Linked DNA regions of Lepisosteus oculatus. The protein of the gene in region 2 purifies or fractionates together with the protein of the main gene of each other region. This does not show direct contact. Links are inferred from orthologs where the notes say so. Each region holds a gene or a part of one and is shown on either strand. Other genes may lie near its edges. The genes, in order: tcp11l2, tubulin alpha-1A chain, hax1 and dnaJ homolog subfamily B member 6.

Region 1 (7,600 bases), on a different chromosome or scaffold from region 2:
TTACTCAGGTCTCGTGCAGACACCATCAGCTCGTCGAACGTCCCGGGTTTCGGGGGGCTTGCTAGAAATAAAAAAAACACACACACACACATCCCCATGAGAGGCCACTTACTGCAGAGTTCTAGCACTACTGTAAAATAGCTGTACCACTCAGACATGAGCGAGGGTCTTCACTCTTGTCCGTCAACCCACAGTTGTGTGTACAGTACAGCCAGCAGCTGTATCACTCCCAGCCGGCAGCCCCCTGGAGCTCAGCAGGTGTGAGCCTGGCCAGTACCTGGCTGGGAGACTCCTGGGAAAAACTAAGGCTGCTGCTGGAAAAGGTGTGAGTGGGGCCAGCAGGGGGCGCTCACCCTGAGGTCCGTGTGGGCCCTAATGCCCCAGAGTAGTGACAGGAACAGGGCTGTCCTTCGGAATGAGATATAAAACTGAGGTCCTGACTCTCTGGGGTCATTAAAAATCCCAGAGTGTTTCTCGAAAAGAGAAAAAGAGTTACCCCAGCGTCCTGGTCAAATTTCCCCCTGGCCTTTAACAGTCATGGCCTCCTAATAATCCCCATCTATAAACTGGCTCCATCACTCTGCTCTCCTCCCCACTGAGAGCTGGTGTGTGGGGAGTGAACTGGTGCACTGTGGCTGCTGTCGCATCATCCAGGTGGGGCTGCACACTGGTGGTGGTGGAGGGGATCCCCATTACCTGTAAAGAGCTTTGAGTGGAGTGTGCAGAGAAGCGCTATATAAGTGTAAACAATTATTATTACTACTAAAGAGGCCAGGACGGCGCGGAGGACACGGCGAGCACGCAGGGGTACGTCCTCTCCGGAGGGACTCACAGGCCGGGGAGCTGAGCCGGCTGGAGGCGTCGCTGCTGAAGCTGCGCCGGGAGCTCTCGCCGTCGCTGGAGGAGCCCGTACTGTCGCGCCGCACCGCGGGGCCCGCGTCCTGCTCCGTCTCCGGGTCCGAGCTGGCGGAGGGGCGCTCGTCCTGGAGAGGCATCGCGTCCTGCGTGGGGGACCGGAGAGGCGCCGCCGCCCGTGAACCTCAGCGCGACCGCAACAGCCCACGCGTGCGTGCGTGCGTTTCTCCCCCCACCTGTCGACCGACCCCAAACCCCACTTTCAGGCTCCCTTATCTATGGAATCTATGGCCGGGAGAGCCGACACTTTCATCTCCGTGTGTTTCATCCCGTCGCGCAGGCCGCTGCTCAAGACCATCAGCAAGTCCGCTCGTTTATTTTGCCGGACCTGCCTCCACTGTGCCGTTTATAGCGCCGTTCACTGACCACAACGCTGCACATGAGCGGCGGCGGCTGCCTATGCGACAAAAACCGGAGCAGACGATGCTTATGTTTACTACCGCCGCCGCCAGAACGCGCGTGGGGGGGCGTTCGTCACCCCGTGACCCCGGGAGTCACGCGGCCCCGCTGGAACAGCTGCTCGGTGACCATGGCAACGGCCGGGACTCTGTAAACAAACCGGCGCTGCGGCCCGGCCGGGTCTCCCACACGAGATGTCAAGGCGAGGGGCCATGAAACACGTTAGCGAGCCGCCGGCAGCACGACGAGGTCCTGACGTGTGGCTTCGCCCTGACCTGACCGAGGCAGCCCGGAAAAAAGTTACCGCTTTTGGAACGATTTCGGGTCGAAACTAGCGACACGACAGATATCCATTACCCTCATGCGCAGCATGAAGTATTGCCCGAGTTTCACAAAGTGCTGCCAGCGCTGGAGTGGGACACCATGGCGCAAACCAGAGGTCTCCGTTTTAAAGAAAGATATACCCTACGTTTCAGTGATGCTACTAAATCCCCCCCCCCAACACACACATTTTGTTTTTTTAATTGATTCCTTCGCGGTACCGCGCAGGCAACTGAGGACGCTGCGTCTCGCTACATGCGAGTGAGCTCTTCAGACACAGCAGCGCGCAAGCCGGCCAGGTCTGCAGTTCGATCCCAGCACCATAACACGGGGTGGGATCTGATCCGATCTGCGCCTGAGGCTCCAGACGCACAGGATACTGCGGGACTCGCGCTTGTATATAGCGCACCCAGGCTGTACAGTATATAGGGCGTACAGGGTGTAGGCAGGGCGCACCCAGGCTGTATATAGCGCACCCAGGCTGTACAGTATATAGGGCGTACAGGGTGTAGGCAGGGCGCACCCAGGCTGCATATAGCGCACCCAGGCTGTACAGTATATAGGGCGTACAGGCTGTAGGCAGGGCGCACCCAGGCTGTATAGTATATAGGGCGTACAGGCTGTAGGCAGGGCGCACCCAGGCTGTATATAGCGCACCCAGGCTGTGCGAGCGATGCAGGAAGCCTGTTTGTCCTCGGGCTGCGAACGGGGAAGGTTCGAGAACAGCGCCGCGCGGGTTCGGAGAAAACCAGCCCCTCCGCCGCGCAGAGCGGCCCGCGGCGGGGAGGCCAGAGCGCAGCCTAGCAACCATACCCCTCCTCCTCCTCGAGCCGCCCCGCCTACGTCACCCTGCGGCCCACGTGATCAGAGCCCCCAGCACCAAAACAAGAACTGGGACGGACCCGCAGGACCGAGCCGGGCAGGGACGGCGAGGTCCAGTCGCCTCACCACAGGGCGGCACGGTTACCGTCGGAAAGCGCCGGGTCTACGGGCTAACCGACTAGAAATGCTCTAATCCCTCGCAACCAGTAACCCTCTTGCACAAGGTTTCTCGCGGCTGAGCTTGCAACATGTTGTTGTTTCGTCTAAACGGATCAGAACCAGAAGATTATTACTCTACATAACCTGCTTAGTCAACACAAGAAGACAAACCTCAGATTACAAGTTGTTTTTTTTCCCCCGAAAACACCGCACAGATGTTCCCGACCGCTGGCAGCTCTCAAGGCCCGCTGCGCTGTCTCGGGAGTAAACAACGCGTTATTCCTGCTAAGACAGCACCTCGCCGTTAGCATCACCAGCGCCCGCCCACAGATTTCCCCAAACAAGTTTTTCTTCTTTCTTAAAGCCAACGGTACCTTAACTTCCCCCCAAAACACCGAAGAACACAGGGCACCGACCCGCGAAAGAGCCAGATTAGTGACTGAAATCTTGATTATTGTTAAAAGTCGTCGCTAAATTACCTTTAAGAAGCCTCCTGCTAACGGAGACTCGGTATCAAAGGAGAGCTATATTAAGGTGTCTATCTCGGGAAGAGATACTTAGTGTCCGGACGCTGCGCTCTGCACAGTTTAAAGATCCTGATGTCCCAGCTGGCCAACACGCTACTATTTATGTTACACTCGGGATGGCCCATCGGTGGCTGTCTGAAGGGGGTCACCGCGCGTTTCATTCTTTCAACCTGTCCATATTTCGTGGGCGTGCCAGGCATATCAAACAACACATAATGATATAAGTGATCAGTCTTCTCATTTGTTTCCTTTCGTGCACCGGTTAGTAAAATCAGTGCTACATCTGCATGACGATAATAAGGCGACTCTCCCTCATCTAAAGCCGAAGATGGTACCTGCCGCCTCGAGCACAGTGTTCTTTGTTTACGGATGTGACGCAGGTTGAATCGATCGCCCGAGGAAAGAAGATAAAACAAGGAAATGTTTTTTTTTATCATTGTTTTGAAGTGTGCAGTACTAAGTGTTGTATTACGGTACCGTTGATAACACAAGCAACCGTTTTGTTTAATTGTGTCGATTGTCAGATAATTCTGAATCCCCTCTTTTTTTAAAAGATCTCATTTTCATCCAGTGGAAAATTCGTTCCTGTCAACTTCACTTGACATTTGTACCTGAAAATGAAAGGAACCGGGCTGTCTGGTCCATCTGGCCTGTTTGGTCGTTAGTAGCTAGTTGATCTGAGGAACCCATCCAGCTGTTTCTTGAGAGAAGCCAGGGTATCATATTGAAGAGTTTAGAGGAGTACCTTGTTCAAAACCCCTACAACCCTTTGTGCAAAAGAGAGCCTCCTGTTCTCAGTTTAAATGCACTTCAACGTGGTGTCTTCTTGTGTCCTCTGGTTCGTGTTTCACTCTTTATTTCAAAGACCCTTGCTGGGTTGACCTTGACAGTGCCTTTGCAGACTTCAAATACATGTGTCGGCTCGTCTCTTAATCTTCTCTGTTCAAGATGAAAAGGGGCCAGAATGTATTTAAGTGCTTTTTTTCTGGACTGATTCCAGATCAACAATATCTTCTTTGATGAATCCTTTGCTTGATTATTTTTGTTAAACAGTCCTCCTTTTGTATGTGAATGGATGCATATTTGAAAAGCTCAAGCATGTGGGGGTGTTGAATGCTGGTTAGGGCTCAGAACTCCTAACTGGAGCCATACTGCTGTGTCCCCGAGCAACGGTCTTTCCCCAGGCTGCTCCAGCAAGTGTCAAAATAAGTTGTTGTAAGTCTTTGTTAGCTGCTTTTGGATTCGTGCTTTGTCTAGACTTGTGAAGATGTCATGTAATGCAACTTTAGTTAAATTTCCCCTTATTATTTACCTTATTTTTCTCCAATGTAAGAGTTTTGTGCAAAACAGCCTTAACAAGTGGTGGCCTGATATCATAGTTAGGGAACTATGATACCATAGTTGGGGTTAAGTTGCTCTTAACCCCAACTTCTCTAGGGGCGCCGTACAATCTCTGACCCCAAGCTTCTCTCTGTCTGTGTGTCTCATGGAGAGCAAGCCAATAAAGTAATCTTATCTTATGACTTCATTGAAGTTAAAACGGGAGCTGAACTGTGGCACCTAGCGGCCATAAGAAGGTACTGCAGGCAAGGAACTCTGTCCTCATTCAGTTAAAAAAAAAGAATATATAAATGAACAACTAAAAGTGTATTCCATGCTGAAGAGAGAAGAAAAGAAACACAACGTTTTGGCTGTGGAGCCTTCTTCAGGTGTGTGAAACGTTGTGTTTCTTTTCTTCTCTTTTCAGCAGGGAACAAACCTTTACTTGTTCCTTTGCAGCCTACGCATGCTGACGCAGCTCCCTACTCGCACTGCTTCAGAATATATAAATAACAGTTCTGAACTAACGAAAAGGAATTTATTTTACTTTGGTTTGAAAGGTTTGAAATCGACACTGAAATATCTGTGGCTGTTTTTCAAAAACACTTGCCCGAGGTGGAACCAAAGTGAAGCGCTTGTTTCCAACACGGCCCCTTTATCGGGCGGACAGCAGCCTGAAATGCGATTGATTGAATCTGCGGAGCGGCGCTGTAGTGAGGACACTTTCCCAGACAAAAATCAACGCTTTCGAGTCGGGCAGCTATTGTAATAATGACGACTTTGGTACTTGACAATGGGGCTTATACCGCAAAAATTGGTTACAGCCATGAGAATGTCAGGTTGGTTTAATTTACGACACCTTGCTTGGGTTCTTGTATATATCGTGGGCTTTCTGCTTTGTTAACGACAAATGCTACTCTCCTTGGTTACAGTAAAATGAAGTCATGTCAGGTTCATCAGTTATTCGGCTTCCCTGCAGAGGATAAGACCACAGTTACACAGAGTGGGGAACACAAGCTTATTTCACTGAGCCTTAACGAGGTTCCGTTGTTGTGCTTTTAAATTTCAGGACACGCGGGAGTGATCTTGTGAGTGACGGCGTTTCGCATTTATCACGTTTTGTTGTTGCTCACATTCGAGGCAGTGCTGATGGGCCCTTTTGGTAGTCTGTGAGATCTGTTATGGGCTGAACCGTCAGTGTTGGCCCTTCTCGGTTCGCGAGTCTGAAGCTTTTACCTCCTGCCTGTTCGTTGTGTTTCCCCCAGCGTGATCCCCAACTGTCAGTTCCGCTCCAAAACTGCGAGGCTGAAGACGTTCACCGCCAACCAGATCGACGAAATAAAAGATCCGTCGGGACTCTTCTACATCCTGCCTTTCCAGAAGGTGGGCTCCGCCTCAGCCTTTATTTAAGCTTTTAATATTGTTTCTGCCAGTTTTTAGCTAAAGCATCCCTTGTATACACTGTACCTTTAAGTTTAATATAAGTTGGAAGAGCAAAGATGTGATTGCAAGCGCTCGACTAAATGCGACTACTGATGAGATTATTTTACAGTGGTTGTGTAATATATGATTTACTTTTGAATGTGTTCGTGGTTGTTCTGAAAATGAAAGTCACTTTGTTTTCCAGGGCTACTTGGTAAATTGGGATGTCCAGAGGAAAGTGTGGGATCACCTGTTTGGAAAGGAGATGTACAAGGTAAACGAGAGCCGTCTTTCCGGCTGTCTGCTTGGGGCCAGTGACTTCAGGACAGCGTGTTCGTTCTGTTCCTTTCGCCGGCCAGCTGCTTGTTTTTAGAACAACGAAGCACGTGTACTCTGAATGTTGGGGCATCGTTTTCATTTCTTGATCACTCATGGCCCGTGCATTCAACTGATCTTGGCTGTTTGCACGAATGGTGTCAGCTCGCCTCAGCAGCGACAGGCTTGGCCGTGTCAGGTACTGCCCTGTCGAGCTCGGTGGAAGCCAAGAAAGCAAGTGGCAGGAAGGAATGGCTATTTCCTTCTTAACAAGAGAGAAACCTGGTATGTTGGAGGCTGAACGGAGTACATTCGGGTGGACTCGGCAGCACTGAAGGTGTGTGTACAGTAGAGCACTCTCCTGGAGGCAAGCGCATCTCCCGCAGTGGTGCGGAACAGTATGGGATTGTCACGTGCACCGGGTCAGTAGATGGGGAGGTCCAAGTGTGATGCACAGGGCAGGCATTACTAGTCACCACAGAGCTGGGCGTGTAGTCGTTGATGGCAGCCTGACTGCACGGCACTGCGTTGATCAAGTCCGGTGATGTCAGTCACTGCCCTTCCTGCAGGGCTCATCCTGACCTGACGGCGTCCCAGCAGGACAGCACGGGCTCATGTCGCTGCTGGGACGGCAGCTTTCAGGCAAGGTGGAAACGGTGCGGTTATGCCATGGATATCCTACTCGCCAAAAACGAGCTGGATGGAACGTCTGCAGGCTGAGCAGGGACAATGTGTGGCATCCAGGGCTCCGAGACCAGGGAACAAGCATGTGCCGGCCCAGGCTCTACAGATGCGACATCATCTGCTACCTGGTGCAAAGCATGTGTCACAGATGTACAGCTTGTGTTGCTTCCAGTGATATCCACTCACGTTACTAGCACGTGAATTTCACAGTAGACCCCATATTGATCAGCCTTGTTGATAGGATTTAATCAGTAACAACCCTGACTAGTGTTAATCTGCCTCATGAATTTACCCCTGCCACATCTGGTGCTGTACCTGCCTGTTACAATACATGACTTTTTTTTCCTGATAATGACTTTGTGAATTCATTATAGTTTTAAGTTCTAAATATTTTTGATGCACAATATATGATGTTTGACGAGTGGAAAATCGATCATTAAAATTGAATGTTCATAGTCTGTTGTTGGAATTGAATAAGAATTGTGTCCCATTGTGCCCCATGTTTGGAACAAAAATGTTCTGAAAATTGAAATCTGTAAATAAGAAATTATCAGAAGTAAGAATCATACAATTTTTTTTGTTACATGGTAGCATGTACCATTTTAAGGAAAGACTATAGTGGATTCACGTGTACAGTGATAGTTTTGTTTTTCATGTGTGAATTAAAGAGGCAGGAGAAGTTATTGGTAAAATGTATTTCATTTGTTTTTAGGTGG
Region 2 (8,061 bases):
AACAGGGTAGCCTATCTTAGTATGTGCTTTGAAAGGAACAATGAAAGTAATATATTCTTTAAAAAAATACTCCAATATTGCACCTCAGCTGCCCCTACTCACCCACTGTTCTATGGCGTTGTGTAAAGGTTGACACAGGTTCTCCTTATCTCAGTGCGTAGTCCTCAGTCAGAAGATAAAAATGTCAAATTGACTGTTCAAGTACTAGTTTGTTTGGAGTTGCCAATGCATCAGTTGTGATTAAACAGACAGCTGCCCCCAAAACAAAGCCAGTCTCTATAGATTTCTTTCCATGACACTGACACTTCTATAGACACCTTTTCAGGGACACTGATAAAGAAATGACATTCTTCAGGAAGGCAGCGACAAGACCGCTGTATTGGCAGACTGAATGTCAGTTATGGGCCAACACCACTGACAGACTCCGACTGGTTTTCCTTCTCTCCACCATTGCCGACTCCAGGGCCAGAAGCCCAGAAGCTCTGGCTCTGGGATTGACTGAAATCCACAGCTGAGCAAGGAGGACTGAGGGATAACATAACATCACTTTATTAGCCCTATACAATTTCTTGCATTAGGAATTTGTCTTTTTGCATACCCCAGCTTGCTCTCCATGAGTACCCCTGGAGCAGTTGGGGTTAAGGGCCTTGCTCAGGGGCCCAACGGAGTAGGATTCCTCTGCTGGCCGCAGGATTTGAACCAGCAACCTTCCAGCCACAGGCACAGATCCTTAGCCACAGAGCCACCACTCCGCCCTTATCACTCAGTGATAATGAGTGACCACTGAGTATCAATCACACAGCCAGCTCCTGTCCGGGAACCCTTTTACACAAGGCAGGTTTCCGTCTAAATGCAGACATTTTAAAAAACATTTTGCACAATTAACAAATCAGAAGGTGAATCCGTGGTTGGTATGTACTGTCAGTTAGTGACATTTTTGGCTTCAACAGATTTACAAGACATAACACGTGAAGGGTGATCTATGAGACCCGCTGGACTGTGTCTCTGCAAGGCCAGTGCTGATGCCATCTTTGAATTAGGCTGTGAGAGGGAGAGAGCACAGTAACGCCAACGCCACAAGCTCAGCAATGCCTGGCAACAGAAGGGCATATTACAAGACACCCACTGACATGCCAGACAGCTTCAGCTTGTACGGTTTGTAGAAACACCATGCAATTAGTAACAGCTGTGGGACAACAAGGTACAAAATAAATGAAACTGTGAATTCCAAACATGAAAACAATCACTTTAAAAGCCCAGATCTGGTGTGTGACTGGAGAGGGTCAGGAGTATGTCAGGCTATGTCTTGGGCGTTCTTTTCCTTTCCTATTCCTCTGCGCTACGTGTGAAACATGTCACAGGACTCCTGTCCCTTCTCGCTGGTGTAGGATGGTCAATGTGAGGAGCTCTGCCAGGGTGAGGGCGCGATGGGAGTGTCTTTATTTCCTCCGCCGAAGCTGCCCCCACCTCTCCTCATCTGCACTGTCATTCAATATCGGCCACGTGACCCACCGACTGCTAAAAGGGGGCTTTATGAAGCCTGATGTAGCATCTCCTGGGCTCTTACTGGTATCCTAGCAACTGAGCTATTCATTGCCTAGCAACTACAGGATACTGAGAAGGGGGCTAGGGGGTAGCCTTTCTCCTTCTTTGACTTTGTGTGTGCTGGGGCAAGATGGTCCAGACTGGCAGCCGGCCCTCTGGGTGCTGAAGAGATGGGATGTCATCTGCTTTGAGTAGTGTGTTCCAGACCCCCACAACCTTTAGTGTAAAGAGCTGTCTCCTGTTCTCGGGCGTAAATACACTGCCCCTTAGCTTCCAGAGCCTTTTCAGCAGCTCTGTGTGGTGCAATAGTCAATCAAGATGGGAAAAGACACCCTAAGTAGAAATGGCAGCGGGGAGTGGCTTATGGTAGAGTGATAAAACACAGTGATGAAAAGCAGAAATATTATAATAATCCAGATGAAGTCTGATACTTGTACATGATGCTGCTTAGCTTCAGGGCTTTCATATACAGCACGGGCTGACATGGCCTCCGCAACGTTGGTTTAAATTACTTCCAACTGAAATATTAATGTCTGCATAAATATTTCATCTGTATTGAGGGCTTTCCTAAAGACAAATTGCACCCCGAATCGCACAGTCATTGCAATCTACAAACTGCAGTTCTTTCTGCGATATTCAGGTCGGATTAACCAGTACTTTTCTCCCCAAAGGCGAGACTGGACAGTTCGTTCTAGGGCAAGGGTGGTGTGAAGTACAACTAAGCCAGTGGTACAGCAGTTTTTATTTTTTAGCTCTAAAAAACGTATATTGGAAACATGCAGTGAGCATTACACGTTTGGCTCTCACCCCAGCACATGGGGTGTCTTTGTTACCCGGCACTCGGTAGACACCCGGGAGCAGAGCCGCCACGGGGCCCGCGCTCGCTTCACACTCGGCGCCTTTGTGGCACGGCCGCGCGCCGCCATGGGCGTGCACCTGCGGCGCAGACTCCGCGCTTCTTGCAGAAACATTTCATCAGGAAAACCGCTGTAAAGGGTCCTTTTATAGAAACGTGATCTATATATATAGGGTTTTTACAATCGATGCTGACTGCTGACTTCTGCTTGCTTCAAGGGCAAGATAATGGAGCGCACGTGACGGCTAACGTACGGAAGAGCAGATTTTTATATCGCGACTTTTCTTTTTAATTTAGTGAAACCGATGCATTATAATAGATTTATTATGAAAGAAGAATACGGGAGTGTCTCTAATGAAAAATTGTTGAATTATTAAAAATTATAAACATTAAAAGCTATGGAAATTGGAGCCCAGTCAGAGACAGCGAGGTTTCACGGGAACAAAGGATGGGTAGCCAACTAAACACAGCCATGGGCGTCGCCGAATGTATGAGACTGTTACACCGCACGTTTATCGGGAACAGCAATCCGACAGAGCATGCAGTCATCACGTACAGCGCGCTGTCGCTTAGTCATCATAATTTAATACTTAAGCCCTTCGATCGCCTGTATAATTCAGCTGGTGTGCAGGCTCTTCCTGCGTGCTCCTCCGGCGCGGGCTGTCGGTTGCCCGGTCCTGTGGGAGCCGCAGGTGCGAGGGTGCCGGCTCTGTAGTGGGGGCGGGGCGGGCGCCCCAGATGAAAGCAGATGGCGCGTGGAGGAAGCCGCCTGAAGCCTGGAGCTAATATGCGGATACTGTGGGGGAGGCAACACAGCACATCTTCGGGTCCTGAAATATATATGCACTTAACTAAAGGTTTTATCATTCAGCTTTCTAAAATCGCTAAAACTATACAGATTTTTTTTTAATGAGGTAAGAAACTGCTTCACACCACCAATGTGCAGCAGTGGAGCAGTGGTTCAGGAGAGTCCCCATTACCTGTAGAGCGCTTTGAGTGGAGTGTCCATAAAAGTGCTATATAAGTGTAAGCAATTATTATTATTATTATAAAATGCGCCCAGGATTAGGGCCTACAAAATCTGTATCTGCTGGACTTGTGTGGCTCACAGCCGATGACAAAGTGCATCCAGCAGAACTCACACACATTACACACATTAAATGGGCGTATTTCTTTAATCTTAGATCATCTGTTTTCAGAGAGAGATTCCTGTTAAAAACAATAATCATCTCAGGCCTGCCTTCTGTCAGGCTAAGTGTCTCTGTCAGCCGGGAGCAGATCAAGTCACCGATGGCCGAGTGGGTTTAGTTCAGCGGTGGGTCAGTATGGCTGCGAGGGGCTGGCTACCAGTCCAGAGTGCAGTCGCGCCCCGAGACCCCTGATATCGGGAGCAGCTCGGGTCCTGCGAACGTTGCCCGGAAAGGGTGCTTTTCTGATTACGGGTGGACCTCGTCATCCCTCACGGGAGTCGATTTTCAGCCCCCCACACTAACCCAGAAGGTGACCCCAGGCGGAAGAGGGGCTTGTCCTCTAACATCACCTTTCACCCCCCGCCAGATTAAAGATAACACTGATCTTTTCTTATGATGCATTTTTAAAAAATACTAATGCTTCACGACTTGACACAGTTGAATTACTTCTGTAGGTACTGGGACCCTCCAAGTATTAATTACATATCTCAATTGATAGACTTTCTAATCAGTCATGAACTATGCGTCACGGTCCTGTAGTAATAGTATCACAATTAATTAGTTCAGGTGGGGAGCTGCGTCAGCATGTGCAGGCTGCAAAGGAACAAGTAAAGGTTTATTCCACACTGAAAAGAGAAGAGAGAACATACAACGTTTCGGCTGTGGAGCCAGAAGGAGCCAAAAAGCTCCACAGCCGAAACGTTGTGTTTTCTCTCTTCTCTTTTCAGCATGGATTAAACCTATTGTTCACAATTAATTATACACTTTGCTGATATAAAATATGGCAGAATATCCCCTAAATGCATCAATCCATGTGTATCACTAGTCCTCTTCAGAGATATGCCTCCTCCATTAGTGTTGCTAGACCATGATGAACTGATGCTGTTAATGCTTTACCCAAGTGAGCGACAGATAACTGTTTTCTCTATTGTCCGGACAAGGTGGGGGTCGGCAGGAGGGGCTTGTCCGGCCGGGGTGGTGCCTTAACCAATGGGAAATCAGATCCGCCGAGGTCTCCGGGCAGACAGCAGACACGTCGCCCAATGATAAAATCGCAGGCGCAGTCGCCACGGCAACGCATGTATATAATAAGCCGTTCACACCCATGTGCTTCACGTTCTCTTGCATCGACCTCCTTGCTGTCGGGTTGTGAGAAGACTCTCTGAACGGGCTCTTTCCCCCTCGCTCGCCTGCCAGACAAGAACTCCAGACGGCATAGAAAATGGTAAGGCGAGGGGTTTCACATTTCGGAACAATGGGGTTCCTTTGCTACCTTGCGTGTTGAAAGGAAAATGGTAGTCTGAGCTGTAGAAAGAAAGAGCAGCACTGTGGAGTTTTCTGGAGTGCGCGGCGAGGCTGGCTGTCTTGTCGCTGTAACTTGTCACCCTGCTCAGAGGGGTCCGCTTCATGTGCTGAACAGACGTGGAAGGGGTGGTGGGGGCGGGATTTTTGGAAGGGTAAAGCATTTTCACGACTAGGGCAGTTGCTTTTGTAGAAAATGCATTATAGAAAAAATCCAAATAACGAGATGACGGGGAAACAAGAGTATTTTGACGTACTGCCAGCGGCACACGGAGCTGTCTGAAATTGTGCGATGCCGGAACCCCTCGCCTCTAAGGCTCCAGTAACAATAGACCAGTGTTGGCCTCACTGGCGAGGACTGGGCTATGTGGTCCGAGAAACCCCGTCTCAGACAAAGGCGCACTTGACAGGAATGCGCTGTGAGCGGAATAAATTATCTGGGACACATCTGGGTGTTCCCCGCCTCTCGCAGTAAGACGTCCTGTCACTTCGGATTTTACAACCCCCACGCCCGTCCGTTTCTTGGATAAATCACAGAAATGGGAACGGACAGGTGTGTGTTTTCTATTTTTTTTTAAGTTTGAAGTCGAATGGATGGAGCTGTCGAGGACAACAGAAATGCGAGCCGACTTGGCACGCACTTCATCCGTCAGCGGCAGCGCGGCGCCTGAAAAAAAGACCGAAAGCCGGTTTGTTTTCATGTGAAGTGCTCTCCAGAGCACTAAAATGTCACACAGCTTCCGCTGCGCGTTGTCAGGGCGGCTGTCCGTGTGTCCGTTTCGGACCCCGGGGAGTGCTGTGGCCGGCGCCGAGATGGAGCAGAACCCCAGCGCGCGCCGCCTGGCTCGGGCGCGCGGCGCTCCGAACGCGCCGTCCTTTGTCTGGCGCGCTCTCACCCCCACCCATTATGTGCGTGAGCTCGCGCCAGCCGCCCCGAGCGCCGCGCAGGCTGGATCGTTCCTCCAGAGCTCCAAGCCTTGCACACAGCCAGCCAGCCAGCCAGCGAGCGCAGACTGGTACCCAAACCTTCGTGTTCGACTCTTTCAAGTATTAAGGGTCTTCTGCAGTTCGGCTCCGCTCTCTTGCTGTGCTTTTGTTAACCGGGTCAAGCAATGATTCCATGAAGTAAAAGCAAGGCTCTTTGTCTTGGATGTACAGTAGCATAACTGCCCGACAGCGGTATACATTTTCAGTGAAAAGAGTTGTGGTCCACACTAATATGAAGAGAGTAGCCCACATGGTAACACCTGCTTGTAGACTGTCAAGAGGGCAGGAGGCCTGCTGGAGTTACGATGGAGGTTTTTCCTCAAAGGGCTCATTATTGTGCTGCTCACTAGAGCACAATTCAGTACTGTGGCTGGGAAGGAGAAAAACGAGAAGATGCCTCTTTTTTTATAAAAGAAAACAAAGGATTTAGGTCAAACTACTCGGCAGAAAATCAACTGGGGAAAAAGGGCCAGGCTTTGTAAAGGTCTGTAACTATTAAAGAAAAACGTATTAAGATGGAATCAGTACAGAAATACAGATGAGTTGTTGAAAAACGGCTCTTGCAAGAAGGCCAATCACTAATAAAGAAAAAATAACAGCAGGAAATAATGCTTGGTAATTTGTCAGTAAATACTGGACTGGATTATAAATCAGCCTTTTCTTACACTATTTAAAAGTCCTAAGGCGTCCCTTCTTAAAGTTTAAAGTAAACAGATAAGCGTTTACATTAAAAGGTGAGATTTCTATGGATTTGTCTTTCTGTGCAGAACAGCAGCCTGATCAAAATATTTTAAATACTGAAATAGTGTTAAAATAGTCTAACCGAGGCAGTTAAATCAATGTCATTGATCAAGTAAATTAGAGAGGAAATCAAGATTGATGCATTGCAGGTGGTTGACACTGTATCCAAGCTGAGGTCACAGAAATGAGTAAGTTACAGGATTCTTCCTCTTCTGATCTTCAGCCAGCACAGTTCCTCCTGTTAACTGATCTCTTTCTCTCTTCACAGCGTGAGTGCATCTCCATCCATGTCGGCCAGGCTGGTGTCCAGATTGGCAATGCCTGCTGGGAGCTCTACTGCCTGGAGCACGGGATCCAGCCGGATGGCCAGATGCCCAGTGACAAGACCATCGGAGGCGGCGACGACTCCTTCAACACCTTCTTCAGCGAGACCGGAGCGGGCAAGCACGTCCCGAGAGCTGTCTTCGTAGACCTGGAGCCCACAGTCATCGGTAAGCTCTGCAGGCTGTGGAGTGGAGGGGGATCAGGGCTGTTCCTCTTCCTCCCTGCTCCAGAGCCCCTGAGCTCACAGCCCTTCACCCGTCTCTCCCCAGATGAGGTGCGCACTGGAACCTACCGCCAGCTGTTCCACCCTGAGCAGCTCATCACTGGCAAGGAGGATGCTGCCAACAACTACGCCCGTGGGCACTACACCATCGGCAAAGAGATCATCGACCTGGTGCTGGACAGGATCCGCAAACTGGTGGGTATCTGAATGAATGTTGAACAGCCCAAACCACCCGTGTTAAGAATTAAAAAGATTGAATGGAGAGCACGTCTGTCTTCTGCAGTAGTCAACCAGATGCATCTTCTCTCTCCAGGCTGACCAGTGCACAGGTCTGCAGGGCTTCCTGGTCTTCCACAGCTTTGGAGGTGGTACCGGTTCTGGTTTCACCTCTCTGCTGATGGAACGCCTGTCTGTCGACTATGGCAAGAAGTCCAAGCTGGAGTTCTCCATCTACCCAGCTCCCCAGGTGTCCACAGCTGTGGTGGAGCCCTACAACTCCATCCTGACCACCCACACCACCCTGGAGCACTCCGACTGTGCCTTCATGGTCGACAACGAGGCCATTTATGACATCTGCCGCAGGAACCTCGATATCGAGCGCCCCACCTACACCAACCTCAACAGGCTCATCGGCCAGATCGTGTCCTCTATCACAGCCTCCCTCCGATTCGATGGTGCCCTCAATGTTGATCTGACCGAGTTCCAGACCAACTTGGTGCCCTACCCTCGTATCCACTTCCCACTGGCCACCTATGCCCCTGTTATCTCTGCAGAGAAAGCCTACCATGAGCAGCTTTCTGTGGCTGAGATCACCAATGCCTGCTTTGAGCCGGCCAACCAGATGGTGAAATGTGACCCCCGTCATGGCAAGTACATGGCCTGCTGCCTGCTGT
Region 3 (7,826 bases), on a different chromosome or scaffold from region 2:
CCCCCCGGTCATCCGCAATCTGGATAGCCACCGGGGAAAAAGAAAAAAGAGGGGTTTTTCATCCAGTATGGGGTGCAGTGCTCTAGGGCAGCGGGGTGGTGCAGAGGTTTGCACTGGAGCTCCACAGCACCGGGACACCTGGGTTCGATTCCTGGGGTGCTGTCTGCGTGGAGTTTGCATGTTCTCCCCCCCCAAGTCCGCGTGGGTTTCCTCCCGCAGTCCAGAGACAGGCTGGTGGGGTAACTGGCTTCTGGGAAAACTGGGCCTGGTGTATGAGTGTGAGTGTGAGTGTGAGTGTGAGTGTGAGTGCTGGGAGAGGCTCTGACTCCCCCGTGACCCTGTACTGGATGAAACAGTGAGAAAATGACAAACCATTTACTGAAGGATCCAGGGACTCTCACTTCAACAACACAGCTGGGCAGCTTGTTCCAGGCACCTGCTACCCTTCCTGTAGTGCTGTGTCTTCCCCTCGCCTGACGACATTTAACGTGTCACGCACGGGAGAAAAACACACGGCCCTATTCACCAGCCCCCCTCTCTCTCCCCCCCCAGTCTGGCGGACCTGTGCGGCTTGGGGGGCGCAGACGACTGGGACGACTCCGACGCGGAGGACAGCCGGTCGCTCCGCTCCGCCTCCCTGAGCTCCAGCATGTCCTCCGCCCTGTCCATGGTGTCCATCATCCCTCACGACGAGCTGGAGAGCCTGCTGGACGACGTGAGGGCGGCGGGGGAGGAGACCCTGGCGGTAAGCCCCGCCCATGTCCCCGCCCACACGTGCACAAGCCTCACCTACTGGTGCACTGGCGCACGTGTGTGCGTGAGCACGTGCACGATTCCCGGACTCCTGCAGGAGTGGAGCACAATGACTGGGCACGGGACGTTGTCTTTTATGTAGCATTTATTTGTGCCGTCCGAGAGCTTTTGAAAGTCTCTCTATGTGTGCAAAACATATCTCCATGGATGTAAAGAAATTTTGTGAGAAATCAGACAAAGTATTACTGCACGCGTGTATATTACGAAAATTCTCGGACTCACAGCATGTACTGTACAGAATTGTTCATGTCCACTTTCTCTTTCTCTCTCCCTGCTGTTCCCACACTCTCTACTCTCTGGCCTCATCTCCCCGTCTCTGCCTCCTCCTCGCTCTCAGAACTGTGAGGATATCCAGGTGGTGGTCCTGCACAAGGAGGCGGGCTCTGGGCTGGGCTTCACCGTGGCCGGGGGAGTGGATCAGAACAAGCCTGTGACTGTGAGTGCACACTGTCTCTGTGTGTCTCTCTATGGCTGTGAGTGGACACACTCTCTATGTGTCTCTCTATGAGTGGACACTGTCTCTGTGTGTCTGTCTGTGACTGTGAGTGCACACTGTCTCTGTGTGTCTCACTATGGCTGTGAGTGGACACTGTCTCTGTGTGTCTCTCTATGAGTGCACACTGTCTCTGTGTGTCTGCCTGTGACTGTGAGTGCACACTGTCTCTGTGTGTCTGTCTGTGACTGTGAGTGCACACTGTCTCTGTGTGTCTCTCTATGGCTGTGAGTGGACACTGTCTCTGTGTGTCTCTCTATGAGTGCACACTGTCTCTGTGTGTCTGTCTGTGACTGTGAGTGCACACTGTCTCTGTGTGTCTCTCTATGGCTGTGAGTGGACACTGTCTCTGTGTGTCTCTCTATGAGTGGAAACTGTTTCTGTCTCCTCATCCTTCTGCGTGACTCTGTGTCAGAGTGTCTCCCAGCTTCTGCGTCCGTCTCTTGTCTTCTGCTGTGTCCCCTGTCACGTCTCGCATCTGGGCCCAGATGTGGTTCCCCCCCGCACCCCGCAGTGTCCACGGCTCGGCACTCCGCTGTCCGGCCAGGGGGCAGTGAGCTCCCTGCGCACGGCCGGTCCGGACCGTAATAACGGGAGCGTCCGGCTGTGTCCGCAGGTCCACCGGGTGTTCCCCTGCGGCCTGGCGGCCCAGGAAGGCTCCATCCGCGAGGGCGACCGCGTGCTGTCCATCAACGGCACTGCGCTGCAGGCGGCCGCCCACTGGGAGGCGCTGCGGACACTGCGGAGGGCGAGGTCCCGAGAGCAGGCCATCGTGGTGCTCCGGAAGGGGACCTGCACCCCCGCCGCCACCGCCGAGCCCCAGGGCACCCAGCCCCACGGCCTCCCCACGGGTGACGGTGGGTATCCAGACCAGAACCAGGCCGCGGACCCAACTGCCCCACACAGCTCCTTTGCATGGCAGCTGGCAGCCCACTGGAGCTCAGGTGTGAGTCTGCCCAGCTCCTGGATGGGAGACTGCTGCTGGAGGAGGTGTTAGTGAGGCCAGCAGGGGGCGCTCACCCTGCGGTCTGTGTGGGTCCTAATGCTCCATTATTGTGACTGGGACACTATGTAGACTGTAAAAAGGCGCCGTCCTTCGGATGAGACATAATACTGAGGTCCTGACTCTCTGTGGGCATTAAAAATTCCAGGGCGTTTCTCCAAAAAGAGTAGGGGTGTTAATCCTGGTGTCCAGGCCAAATGTCCCCTGGTGGTAGTGGAGGGGATCCCCATTACCTGTAAAGCACTTTGAGTGGTGTCCAGAAAAGCGCAAGGAATGATCATTTATGTTGTAACTACATTTCACTGTAACAGTGAGCACGACAGTGTAATAAGCATGTTCTTGCTTGAGACCCGCACTGGTCAAAGTGGCTCCTAGAAACAGGATTTATCCCCGTTTCTAAGGTGTTCAGTGGAATAAACAGTACAGGTTTCCTCCTTTAGGGGTTCACCCCAGCCACTGGTGTGGGTACCCACTGATAGGGCTGTGAAGGCAGGATAGTACAGCGCCATAATGAGACAGGCCAGATTTGAACCCGCAACCTTTTGAAAACAGGTTCAGAGCACTAGCTGCAGCTCCACGCTACCCCCTTCAGTGCATAAAGGAAAGTGTAATATGGTGAGGGAATTAGGGCTTATTACTGTGTAATAGATGTCATATTACTATGTAATAGATGTCATATTACCACAGGATGTGTAATGGCAGGAGTGTAATGGCCTCCTTGTGGTTCATCCCTGCAGCCCAGCCAGGGAAGACCGTGCATCTGATCCTCACCAAGAGCTCCTCGGACCTGGGCTTCAGCCTGGAGGGGGGGCGCGGGTCCAACCAGGGGGACAGGCCCCTCACCGTCAAGAAGGTCTTCCCAGGTAAGACGCCGACGGGCAACGTCAGGCTCCCGAGCGTCACTTTAGCGCACTGCTGTCATGTTCCCTTCCTGGCCCTCCCACTTTTTATTCACCTGCCCTCCCTCCCTCCTTCCTGTCTTCCTGTCTCCCTGTCTCCTGCCCGTCTTCCCAGGCGGCCCCGTCGACCAGGTGCTCCCCGGAGACGAGGTCCTGGAGGTGAAAGGTCGGAGCCTGCGGGGCTTGAGGAGGCTGGAGGCCTGGAACTGGATCAAGATGCTGCCCCCTGGGCCGGTGGAGGTGTTACTGCAGCGCCCCTGCAGACTGTAGGGAGAGGAGGAAGAGAGAGGGATGAGCTTGTCTGGCCCTGTAACCAGCACATGGGGGACAGGGGTTCAGGGCACAGAGAGAGAGGGGAGACAGGGGTTCAGGGCACAGAGAGAGAGAGGAATTCAGGGCAGAGAGAGCAGTGATAAGATTCAGACATGAACACAGGCAGAAAATCAGGAAGCTACACAGAGCAGCTGAATGAAGAGGGGGACAAGAATTTGCAGCAATTCATGTTTCAGCATCTTTTAACATTTTGTATAACAATCTTAAAAAAACAAAAAAAATGGCTTGTTAATAATATCTTGTTAACGTCCCCTAAAATCAAAATCTTAATTATAAACTTTTGTGCTTGCTTTAAATAAATGTGTTGTAATTCAGTTTTGGATTGTGTGTTACTTTTTCTCCATCTACGACGTTCATTTTATACGAATATCAAACTACAGTTCAGTAGAGCCCAGTGAGATCAGGGTAAAAGCACAGTACAGTGCAGTACAACCCAGTGAGATCAGGGTAAAAGCACAGTACAGTGCAGTAGAGCCCAGTGAGATCAGGGTAAAAGCACAGTACAGAGCAGTATAGCCCAGCAAGATCAGGGTAAAAGCAGAGTACAGAGCAGTACAGCCCAGCGAGATCAGGGTAAAAGCACAGTACAGTGCAGTAAAGCCCAGTGAGATCAGGTTAAAAGCACAGTACAGTGCAGTAAAGCCCAGTGAGATCAGGGTAAAAGCACAGTACAGTGCAGTACAAATGTGGTGAACAGCTGTAGTCTAAGCCTCGTGTCCGTTCTCAAACTTAATGAGAATTAATCAGCCACATTCTTCACTGCACATGCTTGTGAACGAACAGCAGGTTGTTTGCCTGTAAGGCAACCTTTTTTTTCTTTGAGCTGGCTGAAGCGGTACGTCGGGATTTTTCTCCAGTGATTAATCAGAAACCAGATTCGAGCACTGTGAATAACGCTGACTCCTACACCACCCCCCCTCGGCCTCTAGCTTGCTTTTGTGCTGTAATGTTTACGACACACCGCCCGTGCCCTCCGCGTTGTAACTTACAGCAATAATCGTCACTTTCCGGCAGTGTGTCATTACGGCCAAGTTCAGTTACGGCAGTGTGGCACGTTCGTTTTCCTTCTCCGCGTCCTTGTAAGAAGAAGCGAGCAAGAGCTTTATGCCAAAATAAAGTATTAAGCCACAAAGACGATTTTTTATTTAAAAGGAAATCTGTCAGATGAGCTTGTTTGACTTGTTTCGCGGTTTTTTCGGGTTCCCGAGAGGCAGTTACCCCGGAGATAGACGGAGGTGAGTTAGTATTGCAGTTGTCAAACAGATGTTTACCCTGTTTTGAAAATGCTTTACTTTTGAAGTGTTATTTTTAATATTTTAAAAACGGCCTGGAAAGGCGCTTTTAAGGGAAACCACGGCTGGAAATACCGGTTATCTAAAGTTACAAATTCCGACGTGAACTAATACACGACATTTTGTTGGTTATATCATCTCGGTGCGTTATCAAGACCCTAATACTGGTAATTCCGTCGTTACTGACGAGGATGACGACAGACTCTTAAAGTATTGCTCATGTTGTGTACGTCTAGTGTTCTGGAACTGGACTTAATTATGTAGCACAAATAACTTTGAGACTGCCGAGAACAATTCCGCTCTGAAGTATCGGAAGGGAATAACTACATAACTGAGTAATTCACTCGTCACTTGAGCAAGTCCATTAGAGACTGAGCACCCCACGAGCTGTTAGCCGTTTGCTTATTAGGTTTTAGCTGACGTCTAACATTTCAGTTACTCAGAAACCACGATGGAGCCGCTTTGAAGAAAGCTTTTTTGCATTTTTTAAATTATTTTCCATTGTTTTTTTTTAAATATTTGCTTGCTTGTTGCTTCTTGTTGATGTTTTACTACGTTAACACACCGGTAAAGTTTCCGCCACTAGAGGGCGCCCGGCCTCTTTTCTCTTCTCTCCTCCTCCTCCTCCTCTCCCCACCTCTGTTGCTGTCTCCCTCTTCCTTGTTTCCTGTCCTTTCACATTTTTCTCCATCCATCCATTTTCTAAACGATTAATCCAGGACAGGGAGGGTCACAGGGGAGCTGGAGTCTATCCTAGCAAGCAAAGGGCACGAGGCGGGGTACACCCTGGACAGGACACCAGTCCATCGCCGGGCACACAGACACACACACCCTGGACAGGACACCAGTCCATCGCCGGGCACACAGACACACACACCCTGGACAGGACACCAGTCCATCGCAGGACACACAGACATACACACACACACGCCCTGGACAGGACACCAGTCCATCACAGGACACACGGACGCACACAAACCCTGGACGGGATGCCAGTCCATCGCAGGACACACAGACACACACACCCTGGACAGGACACCAGTCCATCGCAGGACACACAGACTCTCACACTGACACCAGGGCTGATTTGCCCCAGAGCCCAGCAGCATGTCTTTAGACTGCGAGAGGAAGCGTAGCACCTGGAGGAAACCCATATGAGCCTCCAGAGAGAGCATGCAGACTCCACACAGACAGTGCCCCGGGTTCGGGGTTGACCACTGGGAGCCACCGTGCCGCCCCTTTCGCCTTCCCGGTGTAAACTCCGTGCTCTCGCTATCCCACAATCCCTCCACACGCCGGCGCTGATCTCTCTGTCAACCCCCCCCCCCCCCTCCTCTGGCGCTCCAGGGACCCGTTCTTCGAGGGCATGACGCGAGATGATGACGATGACGACGACGACGAGGGCGAAGACGAGGAGGCGCTGCGGTTCGGGTTCAGCTTCGGCCCCGGCGGGATGCACTTCGAGGAGCCGGCGGCGTTCCGGGAGCTGTTCCGCGAGGTGGAGGAGCTGCTGGCCGGCGTGGGCCGCTGGGACGGCCTGCCCAGCTCCACCCCCTTCGGTGAGCCGCCTGGCGACGCCCCTTCGGGTGGGGGTGGCGTGCTGCAGTCCTTAAAGACGTGAACACCCAGGGTTCAGTTCCTGGAGTACTGTCTGGGAGGAGTTTGCATGTTCTCCCTGATTTTGTGAGTGTGTTTCTTACCACAGTCCAACCACCCAATAGAAGGTTCATTGGCTTCTGAGGGACATGGCGTTGGTGTGAGTGTCTGTGTCTGTCTATGCTCTGATGGACTGGTGTCCTGTCCAGGGTCTGTGTGCCCTCTGATTGACTGGTGTCCTGTCCAAGGTGTGGCTGTGTGTCCGTCAATGGACTGGTGTCCTGTCCGTTGCGTGTGCGTATCCATCTGTCCGTCCATCCGTCCGTCCTCTGATGGACTGCTGTGCTGTCCAGGGTGTGTGTGTGTGTGTGTGTGTGTCTGATAGATTGGTGTCCTGTCCAGGGTGTAGCTTGCCTTGCCTGTTGCTTGCTGGGATAGGCTCCAGCTCCCCCATGATCCTGAATTGGTTGAAGTGTTTAGAAAATGGATGGATGAGGAACCAGTGGATAGGTGTGCTTAAGCGTGTGTGGATGTGCTCATGCGTGTGCGTGTGATGTGTTGGTTCCTAGCACACTGCACCCCGTACTGTACTGTGTTCCTGTACAGTGCAGGTGTCTTCTGTTCCCTCCTGCTGCCTGGATGTGTCCTGTTAGTTCCCCACCGGATCCTCATGCTCTCTCCCCTCTCTGCTCCCCAGCGATCCCCAGTATCGAGGCGCCGGGGCGGCAGGAGCGCGGCAGGTCTCCGAGGGACTTCATGCTGAGACACCCCGACAGCACCCCGTCCTCTGACCAGGGGGACAGGGAGCCCCCCTCAGGGCCCTTCTCCAAGGTGAGAGCCCTTCTTCAGGAGGGTGTTGATCGACCTGGCTCTGTGTCCGCTGCCCCTGTGCTGTCCTACTGTATTCCACTCCCTCCCTGTCACTGCGCAGTTCTGCTGTCTCCTCTCTGTGCGTGTGTCTTTTCTGGGAAGCCACTTTTAAAGGTGCTTTAGAAAATAATAATAATAATAATAGCCTCAATAATAATGATAATGATAATAATAATTACTATGATCATGTTGCGATCCGAAGTGATTGTGAGGATGAAGGGGGATGTTGTGGTTTTTCTCTCTTGCACCCGATTGCAGCGCTGCTGGTGTGGGCAGGGCAGGGCGGGGTGGGGTGGGGTGGAGGGGGGCAGTAGGGGTGCGTGGATGAGCGGACGGAGGGGTCAGGGGTCAGTGCTGAAGGAAGAGTCGTTTCGGAGTGCCTGTTGTATTAATCCTCTTCAAGCCCTGATGTTCTGATGGGCTTTGGGTCACTAAGCCTCCCTCCTCTTCCTCTCCCAGTTCGATGACGTCTGGCGGGGGGGCCTGTGGAGGGCGGAAGAGGGGGAGCCCCTGAAGCAGGACGGAGG
Region 4 (8,424 bases), on a different chromosome or scaffold from region 2:
GTATGATCCAAATGCATTTGGAACACTACATTTAACACCGTTCCACACAACCCCTTTTTCCCCCCTGCAGGGTTAAGGTACCGCTGATGCGAGGTTTTCGTGGAATGTAACCTTCCCATAAAACGGGGGACGCCTGTACAAGTCCAGCCCCCCCTCATGTTAGCAAGACAGATAAGCAAGGTCAGTTCTGTACTTCAGGGCTCACTCGCTTATCTGCTTCCAACTCACAGTGTCCAGACAACGATACAACAGTACAGATAAGCAGTAGCCCACGCTAATGTCCACCAACCACTTGTGTAACATGTCCAACACATAATCCCTCGATCACAACGCATGGATTGTGACATCAAAACAGATGCCCCTGAACCAAAGGGATTCCCATCCCTAAAACTGCTGCTGCTGTTTTATTTAACTGGGATGCAAGTCTCAAGATCTTGCGTCAGGACAGAAAGTCTGTACATCACTGACAGAAGTCCAATTAGTTAATGTGATGTAAATGACAGTTCAGTGCAAACAGATCACATACCTTGTCTAAATTACATTTCTGTTTATTCAACAAATGTGCAATCTCAGAATTATACTTCTTAAGTCCATTTCTGCTGTTTCTCCAACATTTTTTTCAGCTTGTTTATAGTTAAGAAATTAAGTAATGCCTCTAAAAGGTAGCCTTAAACACAGGGAAAAAGGTTAAATACGTCATGACATTTTATAAATTATATATAATTAATGACCAAATAAAATAAAAGTTTCTGGGTTCACAATCCTCTTATCTTCCAGACAAGGAAAGAGCAGATCTGGTTTATTTCCTCATGTGACCACTCCATTAATCACGGTGCGCTTTATCATTTCATGAAGGCAGCTGGCCCAACACACAGATACAAAGGCCTCATCTCCAACAGTCCTGAATTACGCAAACAAGAGAGCATCATGCAGGTCAATACGCTGACTTTTAGACTATAGCCTTACTCCCCTGAAACCGAAAGTCTTGATGGAAGGTCCTTCTCTCACAATCCATCACACTGTATGATTTTATGTTAAAAGCGGGATAGGATTAGCGTTTGCAACTTTACCACCATCTTTAGAACTGGTGCAAGACAACCTATCTTTACACAACCAAAACTACCTCTCAAAGATACTGGCAAGCCAGCTACTTCATACGTAGCCAGCAAACTATCTAAGTGTCTATGTTAAAGACATTCAATACACTTTGAAGTGCTTGCTCCAGAAACCAAACACAGATCTCAGAAGCAACACTTTTCAAATGGCTTGAACAGAAATATACCATTTGCTAAGAAACTGTATCGCTGGGTCTCATGGCTGTGTGTGTAATATAGGCACCAGTAACAGCAGCTCTTTCCTAATAAAGCACAGAGGGGACTTTAGAAATGAATCCATAGATTGAGTGCAAACCTGTTGAAAAGTAACACATTTAAAGCACTGTAGCAATGGCTTTTCTGTGCCACATGCACAGGGTATTAAGTGGATTAAGAGGACATCCACAACCGGGAATGTATTCTGGTGTCAACCGCAGCTCACTAAAGCGTACTCCCTCATGCTAATACACGAGCAGACGTTATGAAAATCTTGAAATTTGCTTAAATCAACACAAATGTCCCCTACAGCTATTCAGGTTTTTTTTTTTTACTGTAGAAAAGTCCAAATAGTGACAGCTCAGCAGCAGTTTTACCTAATTTCACACGCGGTGTCAAAACTAGACCGGCACACACATTTTTCAAAAGGGCAGAAGTAACTCTTCCTCGCCCCGGATTCGCACGGAAAGCTCTCCCGGCGTCAGCAAAGGAAATGTTTACAAATCGAAAATAACAACAGCCCTAAAGCCAAAGAGGGAACTGAAAAGAAGAGCCACAAACCGAGGGCCGTGTCTCAGCATTTAACAAATCAGCCCATCACGAAAAGTTCAGGTGGATGCCACTCATTGGTGGTGGTGGAGGGGAGTCCCCATTACCTGTGAAGCGTTTTGAGTGGAGTGTCCAGAAAAGCGCTATATAAGTGTAACCAATTATTATTATTATTATTATTATTATAAGTCACAGACTGTAAACTACAGCCAGCCTCACGTGTACTCTGAGGAGAGGGAAGGAGAAAGTGCCCCATGGACGCAGGGGCAAGACTACCTTCATTTGAACCGGCTAATCCAGTCCAGGGACCAGGGCGACAGGGATACACGGTTCTCGGCGCCTGCCGGTGTGGACAGGGGGGGTCTTTAGTGGGGACGTCCCCACACTCATCCAGACACGCCTCGGTCTTCGGTGCGGATTGAAAACACCGGTGTACAAAGCCAACCGCAGGCGGGCCCAAGCCGTGTAGTACCTCCCGACACCGCTTGCCTCGCAAAACAAAAACACTGGTTACGTCCAGTTTTGCCTTTATGCCCCGCCGACATCCTAAGAGCGGCCCTGTCAACAGCGATAACATTGCTCACAGAGAGCAGCAGGTACTGGCGTTGGTCACTGGCCGCGGTGAGGGGCAGCGACACCAAAAACACAGTCACCCCGGGTCGACCCGGACCTGGGTTCACCCAGTGCGGTCCGTGCTGCGAGGTTTCTCTTTGAGAGGTGTTTTGCTCGAAATGGGGTTCCCAGCTCACGCACGTACTAAATCCAATACTCGCATCTAAGAGCAATTAAGGGACGACGCGACTCTTCAATCATGAAATACTTCACAGCAGAACCGGGGCGGCGGGGGGAGGGAGAGAGAGAGAGTGTCTACGAACCCACCATCCTCGTAATCAGGGGAGACCCCGTGTTTTGAGGGGGACACTTTCCTCACCACTATCCTGGAGGACAAAAGATCCTCCCCCCCCCGCCAATCTCTGCCGTTTTCACGCTTTCGGGGTTCTAGTCATACAGACTCCGGGGACCGACCCCCCCGGATGAACAACCCTCCCCCGATATCGCTGCGACACGCACGGGCATATATTTCTCTGGATCACATCTTAACCAGCTCGGCAAATGTATTCAGAGCACGCAGTATTTGCACTCTCCCTTCGCCATCCTCCACGACGTGCACTCACTACGCACAAACGCAACCGTCGGCGGTCAGGACAACATCAGACACAGACTCACCTCCCCGTTCGGCTACCAAGACCTCCCTTTTGTTGCTGTTGTTTTATACTGTATAGTGTACGTTTTGTACTCTAAAGGCGCCGCACAAGAGCAACTTCTGGTGCCCCTGCTTGTTCCTCGGCACTTGTAACGTCACTTCCTGCTACAGCCAAAGCCGCAAACTCTAATGGGGGGAGGAGGGGAATTTATCTTTGAAATGTTCTGGAAATTTGTGGTTGACGTGAACCGGCGTCTGCTTTGTCGTCTTTAATGTTGTGGTTAATAATATTTATTTTGCCAGATCCCTTCATACACAAAATACAAACGCGCTACCCACATAAAACCATTTCCAGAATGTTCTGTAGTAATCAAAATAGGACGGACGTGTACTGATGTTCTTACCTGTGGTATTTGTGAGGCATTTTGAGATTTTTGGATTAAGAGTATAGAAGAATTACCCTTTATACGTGTGCTTTAATTTGTGTGTTTCTTACGTAAAAAGTATAGCATATTGCAATTTGTGTGTATTACAGCACAACAGTATAGTATTGTGATACACTAGTGTAGTACTATACAATTTACTATAGTGCTCACTACAGTACGTTACTACAAGGCCTACACTATTACAGTCACGTTCTGTAATATGTTGTGTAGTACTATAGTTCTGTGCTTAATAACCACACAGGTTGATTCTTGCATTTGTAGATTGTTTTTCTTATCAAAGGATTGTGGATTGTAAATTGTAGAATTAATCTATATCGATGCCATAGGAATACCATGTATTATATACTGAATACACGTTATATACTTATATAACATGGGTATGTCATATATACTAATACTTTATAGTTTATGGACATAACAACTACTTGCATGGAATTAATCTATATCAATGCCATAGGAACACCATGTTTTATATACTGAATACACGTTATATATTATATAACATGGGTATGTCATATATACTAATACTTTATAGTTTATTGACATAACAACTACTTGCATGGAATTTGGTTCAGTGAGCACATACAGAGGTTGAGCAGAGTGGGAAGGGTTGGCTAGGATCTTAGAGATCAGAGAATTCAGAGAATTTTGTGTTTCAATTTCAAGAGGCAGAGGGAAGGTGGCATCCTTTAAATTTGGAGGCGATATACAGTACATGACTTGTCCTGGGCAGAAGTGTTGCCATACCACGCAGTGAGGGAGTGAGGGAGAAGCTCAAAACACTCTCAGTGTGGAAAAGGGTCATTGCTTCTTGTGACACTCCAGAATTCTTCAGCTGTGTCAGGAAGAACAGCCTTTGGTGAGCTTTCTTGACCAGGAACTTAAAATTCTCCACCACGTCCACAGCCTGACCAGTGATGAATAGTGCTCTTTTGCTTTGCCTAAAGTTCTTTTATTTTGCTGACATTTTGTTCCAGTTTGTTTAGGCTACACCAATCAATTAATTCAGCTATTTCATTCCTGTTTACTGATTCATCATCGTTTGTGGTGAGCCCTACAGGAGTAGCGTCATCAGGAAACTTGAACATTTTTTACAGAATCTGAATGTGAAATACAGTCATTTGTAAACAGAAAGTAAAGCAAAGATGATAAGACACAACCCTGATGAGCTCCTGTGCTCCTAATACTCATAATACAGTAATACATGTGCTATAGTGTGTTAGATATACTGTAGAATAAAAACATATTCAATTTACAGTGCAATATTATACAGCACTCACAGTATTCATATAAACATTATATATTTTGCTTATACATTATTTTGCTTAAAATGTTACTTCAGTAAATGTCAACCTCCTATACCTATCAACTCCACCACATTTTGGAATAGTAAGCTTTTATAACATGGATAGCACAATACGTAATGCACGTCTTTATGCTGGGATATTCTCTAATAGAGTAGTTTTATATTAGCATAACCTTTAAGAGCCAGAATTAAAAACCGTCACAATAGTTTTAATTTCTGTAGATTTTAGATATAGTGCCATAGAAATGCTCTCAAAAAAACAAACAGACACTATTGGTTCTCCTACCTTGCATAGCATTATTAATGCATTTCTGTATATGTTGTACATTTACTTTAAAAAGATTATAAAATAAAAAATCACAAGAAACACAAACAATTAAATTAGAATAACTAAAAAGAAATACAATTGACTTACTCACAGGAACACCTTTTCAAAATAGATTTTAAATGTTGACAGCTGCATAGTCCCTATATGAGTTGTGGGGATATTTAAACTTAAGTTTTACAAGATATGCTTGTACAGTATAAGGAAATAAGCAGTGGATGTCAAAGGAACATTAATACATTAAGTTAACAAAGTTTTTTATGCATTCCCAGTTAAATTGAATTTTATGATAAAATATTTAAAGTATAAAAATAAAATCTAAACACTACATATTGTATGGTACAGAACTTCAAATTTGCAGTAGTTAATAAAATGTTAGAGAATGGCTTTGAACCAGGGGTCAGAGGACCTCAGAAACACAGGTAGACTTTTCACCCATTTTCTTACTCTTATATAGTGCTTTTCTGGACACTCCACTCAAAGCACTTTACAGGTAATGTGGACTCCCCTCCACCACCACCAATGAGCGGCATCACCTGGATGATGTGAGCCAAAGTGCAGCCAAACTGCACCAGTACACTCCAGCACACACCAGCTATCAGTGGAGAGGAGAATACCGTGATGAAGCCAATTCATAGATGGGGAGTTTTAGGAGGCCATGACTGGTAAAGGCCAGGGGGGGAATTTAGTCAGAACTCCAGGGTAGCAATACTACTCTTTCTGAAAACTACTTTATAGTGGCTTTATGATTTCAGAATAAATGCACCTGTCCCTGGAATGTTCCTCTGTCAGGCAGTGAGTGTGAAGTAAAGATTCAACTATGAAGGCCTAACAGAAACAACCCTATCACTGAGACACTGCCTAGATCAGACTATACCGTTAAAGCAGGTGGGCAAGGAAGAAAATGGTTCAGGATGTCATCGTAAAGCCAGTTTTGACCTTGAAAGAGCAACAGACTTCAATGGCTGAGATGGGAGAAAGCTATCCATGAATCAATATCTCAGTCTCTCCACAAAGCTGGTCTGCATGGCAGAGTAAAAGGAAGGGAGCTATTTTTGGTCCAAATGCAAAGCGAAATATCTAGTTGCCTAGTCAAAGTCACAATTTCAATCTAATAGTACATATGTAGCAAGACTTGAAATTGCTGTCCTTTTTCAATCCCTGCCAACCTTACATCGCTGCCTCCCAGCTCTGGGGCCCTGGGTCCTGGATTTGGGGTATTTTCAGTGTGGAAAACTTTCTGTGTGTTTGTGTGTTATCCATGTTTTTGTGTGGGTTTCCCCCCGATGTTGTGGTTTCATTCCACAGCCCAGAAGCATATTGGTAGGTTAATTGACTAAGGGTGGAAAATACGCCCTAGGTGTGAATATGTCTGCCCTGCAATGGCTTAGTGTCCTTCTAGGATGCATCCTTCCTTATGACTACTGCTTGCTGAGATAGGCTCTGGCTCCTTTGCAACCCTGAACTGGGTCAGACCCCATGTTATCCTTCACAAGGAAAATTGTCACATGTTCAAAGCTATCAAGATTGTTGATACCAGTTCAAATACAAACTTCCTATGAAATCTGTCATGAACACTTAGACCTCTGTCACAAAGGCACAGACAGCTTCTTTTGTTTTCCCTTGAGGATTGTTATTAGCAATGAAAAGAGAGGCTGCCACTGAGATCTTAGAAGAAAGGCGATCTAAGCAGCATCTCTAGAAATGTTTTCAGCAATCAGTTTGTGTGACACTGACAGCTTCTGCAACTGGAATTCATGCCACAGAAAATATTTCTCACTGCCAAAAGCTATTTGATGAAGAAGTATTTCTGTAATGCAATCACCAGAACAGTTTGAGAACAACCTGGTTAAATGTCTCCTTATTCTTCATGACAGAGCAAAAGTCACGTAAGGTTCAATCTGCCATTAGCAACTGTAGTTTTGAGGAACTGAATCATCCACCATACAGGCATTATTTCACTTTCAGGGACTGTATATTTTTTCTTCAGAAGTTTGAAATTTGAAAAGGTTTGGTGGAGAAGACCATTTGTGAAATTGAAGAAGTATGTCAGTGTGGGTTGAAATCCACTTCTGTTCTCAGACTTGGTTCTAGAATACAGAATTCAAAAAACAATAACTAGACCAGGGATGCTGTTGACAAATAATGGAAATAAACTGCAGCTTGGTTTAGACAGATTACATTTTTAGTAACCCTGCCCCCCATATGTATTTGGCTAGGATTTCAAATCTTTTCATAAATTCAATCAAGGCTATTTTAAATAATTGAACCTCCCCTGAAGCACAAATGCATGGGCATTCATAAGTAAATTCCAACTGTCCAAACTGAATTGACTGTCCAAATGAAAAAGAATCATCCTTATTTTTCATTGAAATGTGTTGCTTAAGAAAGCAACTGAAGACAACTATTCAGAAACACATGGAAACAGCAAAACCCTACTACCAGCCAGCAGCCATATCACCCTGTAACTTACAACTTGTAACCCACTGCTAAGCAGGTGTGAACCTGGTCAGTACCTGGATGGGAGACTTCCTAGGAAAATGTAAGGTTTCTGCTGGAGGAGGTGTTAGTGGGGCCAGCAGGGGGCGCTCACCCTGTGGTCTGTGCGAGTCCTGATGAGGACACTATACTGTAAAAAGGTGCCATCCTTCAGATGAGATGTAAAACCAAGATCCTTACGTTCTGTGGTCATTAAAAATCCCAGGACATTTCTCAAAAAGAGTAGGGATGTAACCTCTGTGTCCTGGCCAAATTTCCCATGGGCCTTTATCAATCATAGCCTCCTAATAATCCCCTTCTATGAATTGGCCTCATCACTCTGTTCTACTCCCACTGATAGCTGATGTGTGGTGAGTGTTTTGGCCCAGATCGGTGGTGGTGGAGGGGAGTCCTCATTACCTGTAAAACGAGTGTAGTGCCCAGAAAAGCACTATATAAGTGTAAAGAATAATTATTATTATTACTAAATTTAGAAACACTTAATGTTTAATTGTGTTCCAATTGGCCTGTGATAAAAACTCAGCCCACTACTTACATTTCTTGTACCACGGTTCATCTCTGCCTAGAAATTACAAAACCAGGGAGACAGTGTCAGCAGTGTTAGAGAAGGTGACAGACAAACAACTCACCGAAAGAGCACCACCTGCTTTATAAACAAGGATGAAACCAAGGAGCTCATTCAAATCACTCAATGCCATCTGCTGTCAAGGTCTCAGAATTGCAGCTAGAACATTTATAGTCTGAGCTGTTGAGGATAATACAATTTAATTTAAGCTTTTCTGTTT

The links.
Region 1: the proteins of tubulin alpha-1A chain (region 2) and tcp11l2 purify together in Homo sapiens (affinity purification with mass spectrometry; 3 studies listed by BioGRID and IntAct, counting the BioPlex papers as one, with this or other methods). This does not show direct contact. The link is inferred for Lepisosteus oculatus from reciprocal best matches to the Homo sapiens genes TUBA1A and TCP11L2.
Region 3: the proteins of tubulin alpha-1A chain (region 2) and hax1 purify together in Homo sapiens (affinity purification with mass spectrometry; 3 studies listed by BioGRID and IntAct, with this or other methods). This does not show direct contact. The link is inferred for Lepisosteus oculatus from reciprocal best matches to the Homo sapiens genes TUBA1A and HAX1.
Region 4: the proteins of tubulin alpha-1A chain (region 2) and dnaJ homolog subfamily B member 6 purify together in Homo sapiens (pull-down; 3 studies listed by BioGRID and IntAct, with this or other methods). This does not show direct contact. The link is inferred for Lepisosteus oculatus from reciprocal best matches to the Homo sapiens genes TUBA1A and DNAJB6.

What each region holds. Positions count from the first base shown.
Region 1 is NC_090702.1:55,180,575-55,188,174, reverse strand, and holds the start of tcp11l2 (T-complex protein 11-like protein 2), read right to left. Parts: upstream 3,231-7,600; 5' UTR 3,096-3,230; intron 3,048-3,095; exon of another isoform or gene 2,788-3,047; intron 1,002-2,787; 5' UTR 996-1,001; coding exon 833-995; intron 62-832; coding exon 1-61. Other genes in the region: actr6 (actin-related protein 6), read left to right, coding at 5,235-5,302, 5,729-5,846, 6,091-6,159, 7,597-7,600. UniProt on the Homo sapiens protein: Promotes the migration of muscle-derived satellite cells (MDSCs) during differentiation throught interaction with FMNL2 and therefore may participate in microfilament assembly.
Region 2 is NC_090696.1:15,178,534-15,186,594, forward strand, and holds the start of tubulin alpha-1A chain, read left to right. Parts: upstream 1-4,695; 5' UTR 4,696-4,813; coding exon 4,814-4,816; intron 4,817-6,889; coding exon 6,890-7,112; intron 7,113-7,214; coding exon 7,215-7,363; intron 7,364-7,481; coding exon 7,482-8,061. UniProt on the Homo sapiens protein: Tubulin is the major constituent of microtubules, a cylinder consisting of laterally associated linear protofilaments composed of alpha- and beta-tubulin heterodimers.
Region 3 is NC_090722.1:5,809,315-5,817,140, forward strand, and holds the start of hax1 (HCLS1-associated protein X-1), read left to right. Parts: upstream 1-4,562; 5' UTR 4,563-4,705; coding exon 4,706-4,776; intron 4,777-5,078; exon of another isoform or gene 5,079-5,168; intron 5,169-6,180; coding exon 6,181-6,392; intron 6,393-7,126; coding exon 7,127-7,260; intron 7,261-7,758; coding exon 7,759-7,825; intron 7,826-7,826. Other genes in the region: pro-interleukin-16, read left to right, coding at 553-745, 1,151-1,249, 1,923-2,163, 3,047-3,172, 3,324-3,478. UniProt on the Homo sapiens protein: Recruits the Arp2/3 complex to the cell cortex and regulates reorganization of the cortical actin cytoskeleton via its interaction with KCNC3 and the Arp2/3 complex. Slows down the rate of inactivation of KCNC3 channels. Promotes GNA13-mediated cell migration.
Region 4 is NC_090701.1:12,328,840-12,337,263, reverse strand, and holds the start of dnaJ homolog subfamily B member 6, read right to left. Parts: upstream 3,233-8,424; 5' UTR 3,087-3,232; intron 1-3,086. UniProt on the Homo sapiens protein: Has a stimulatory effect on the ATPase activity of HSP70 in a dose-dependent and time-dependent manner and hence acts as a co-chaperone of HSP70. Plays an indispensable role in the organization of KRT8/KRT18 filaments.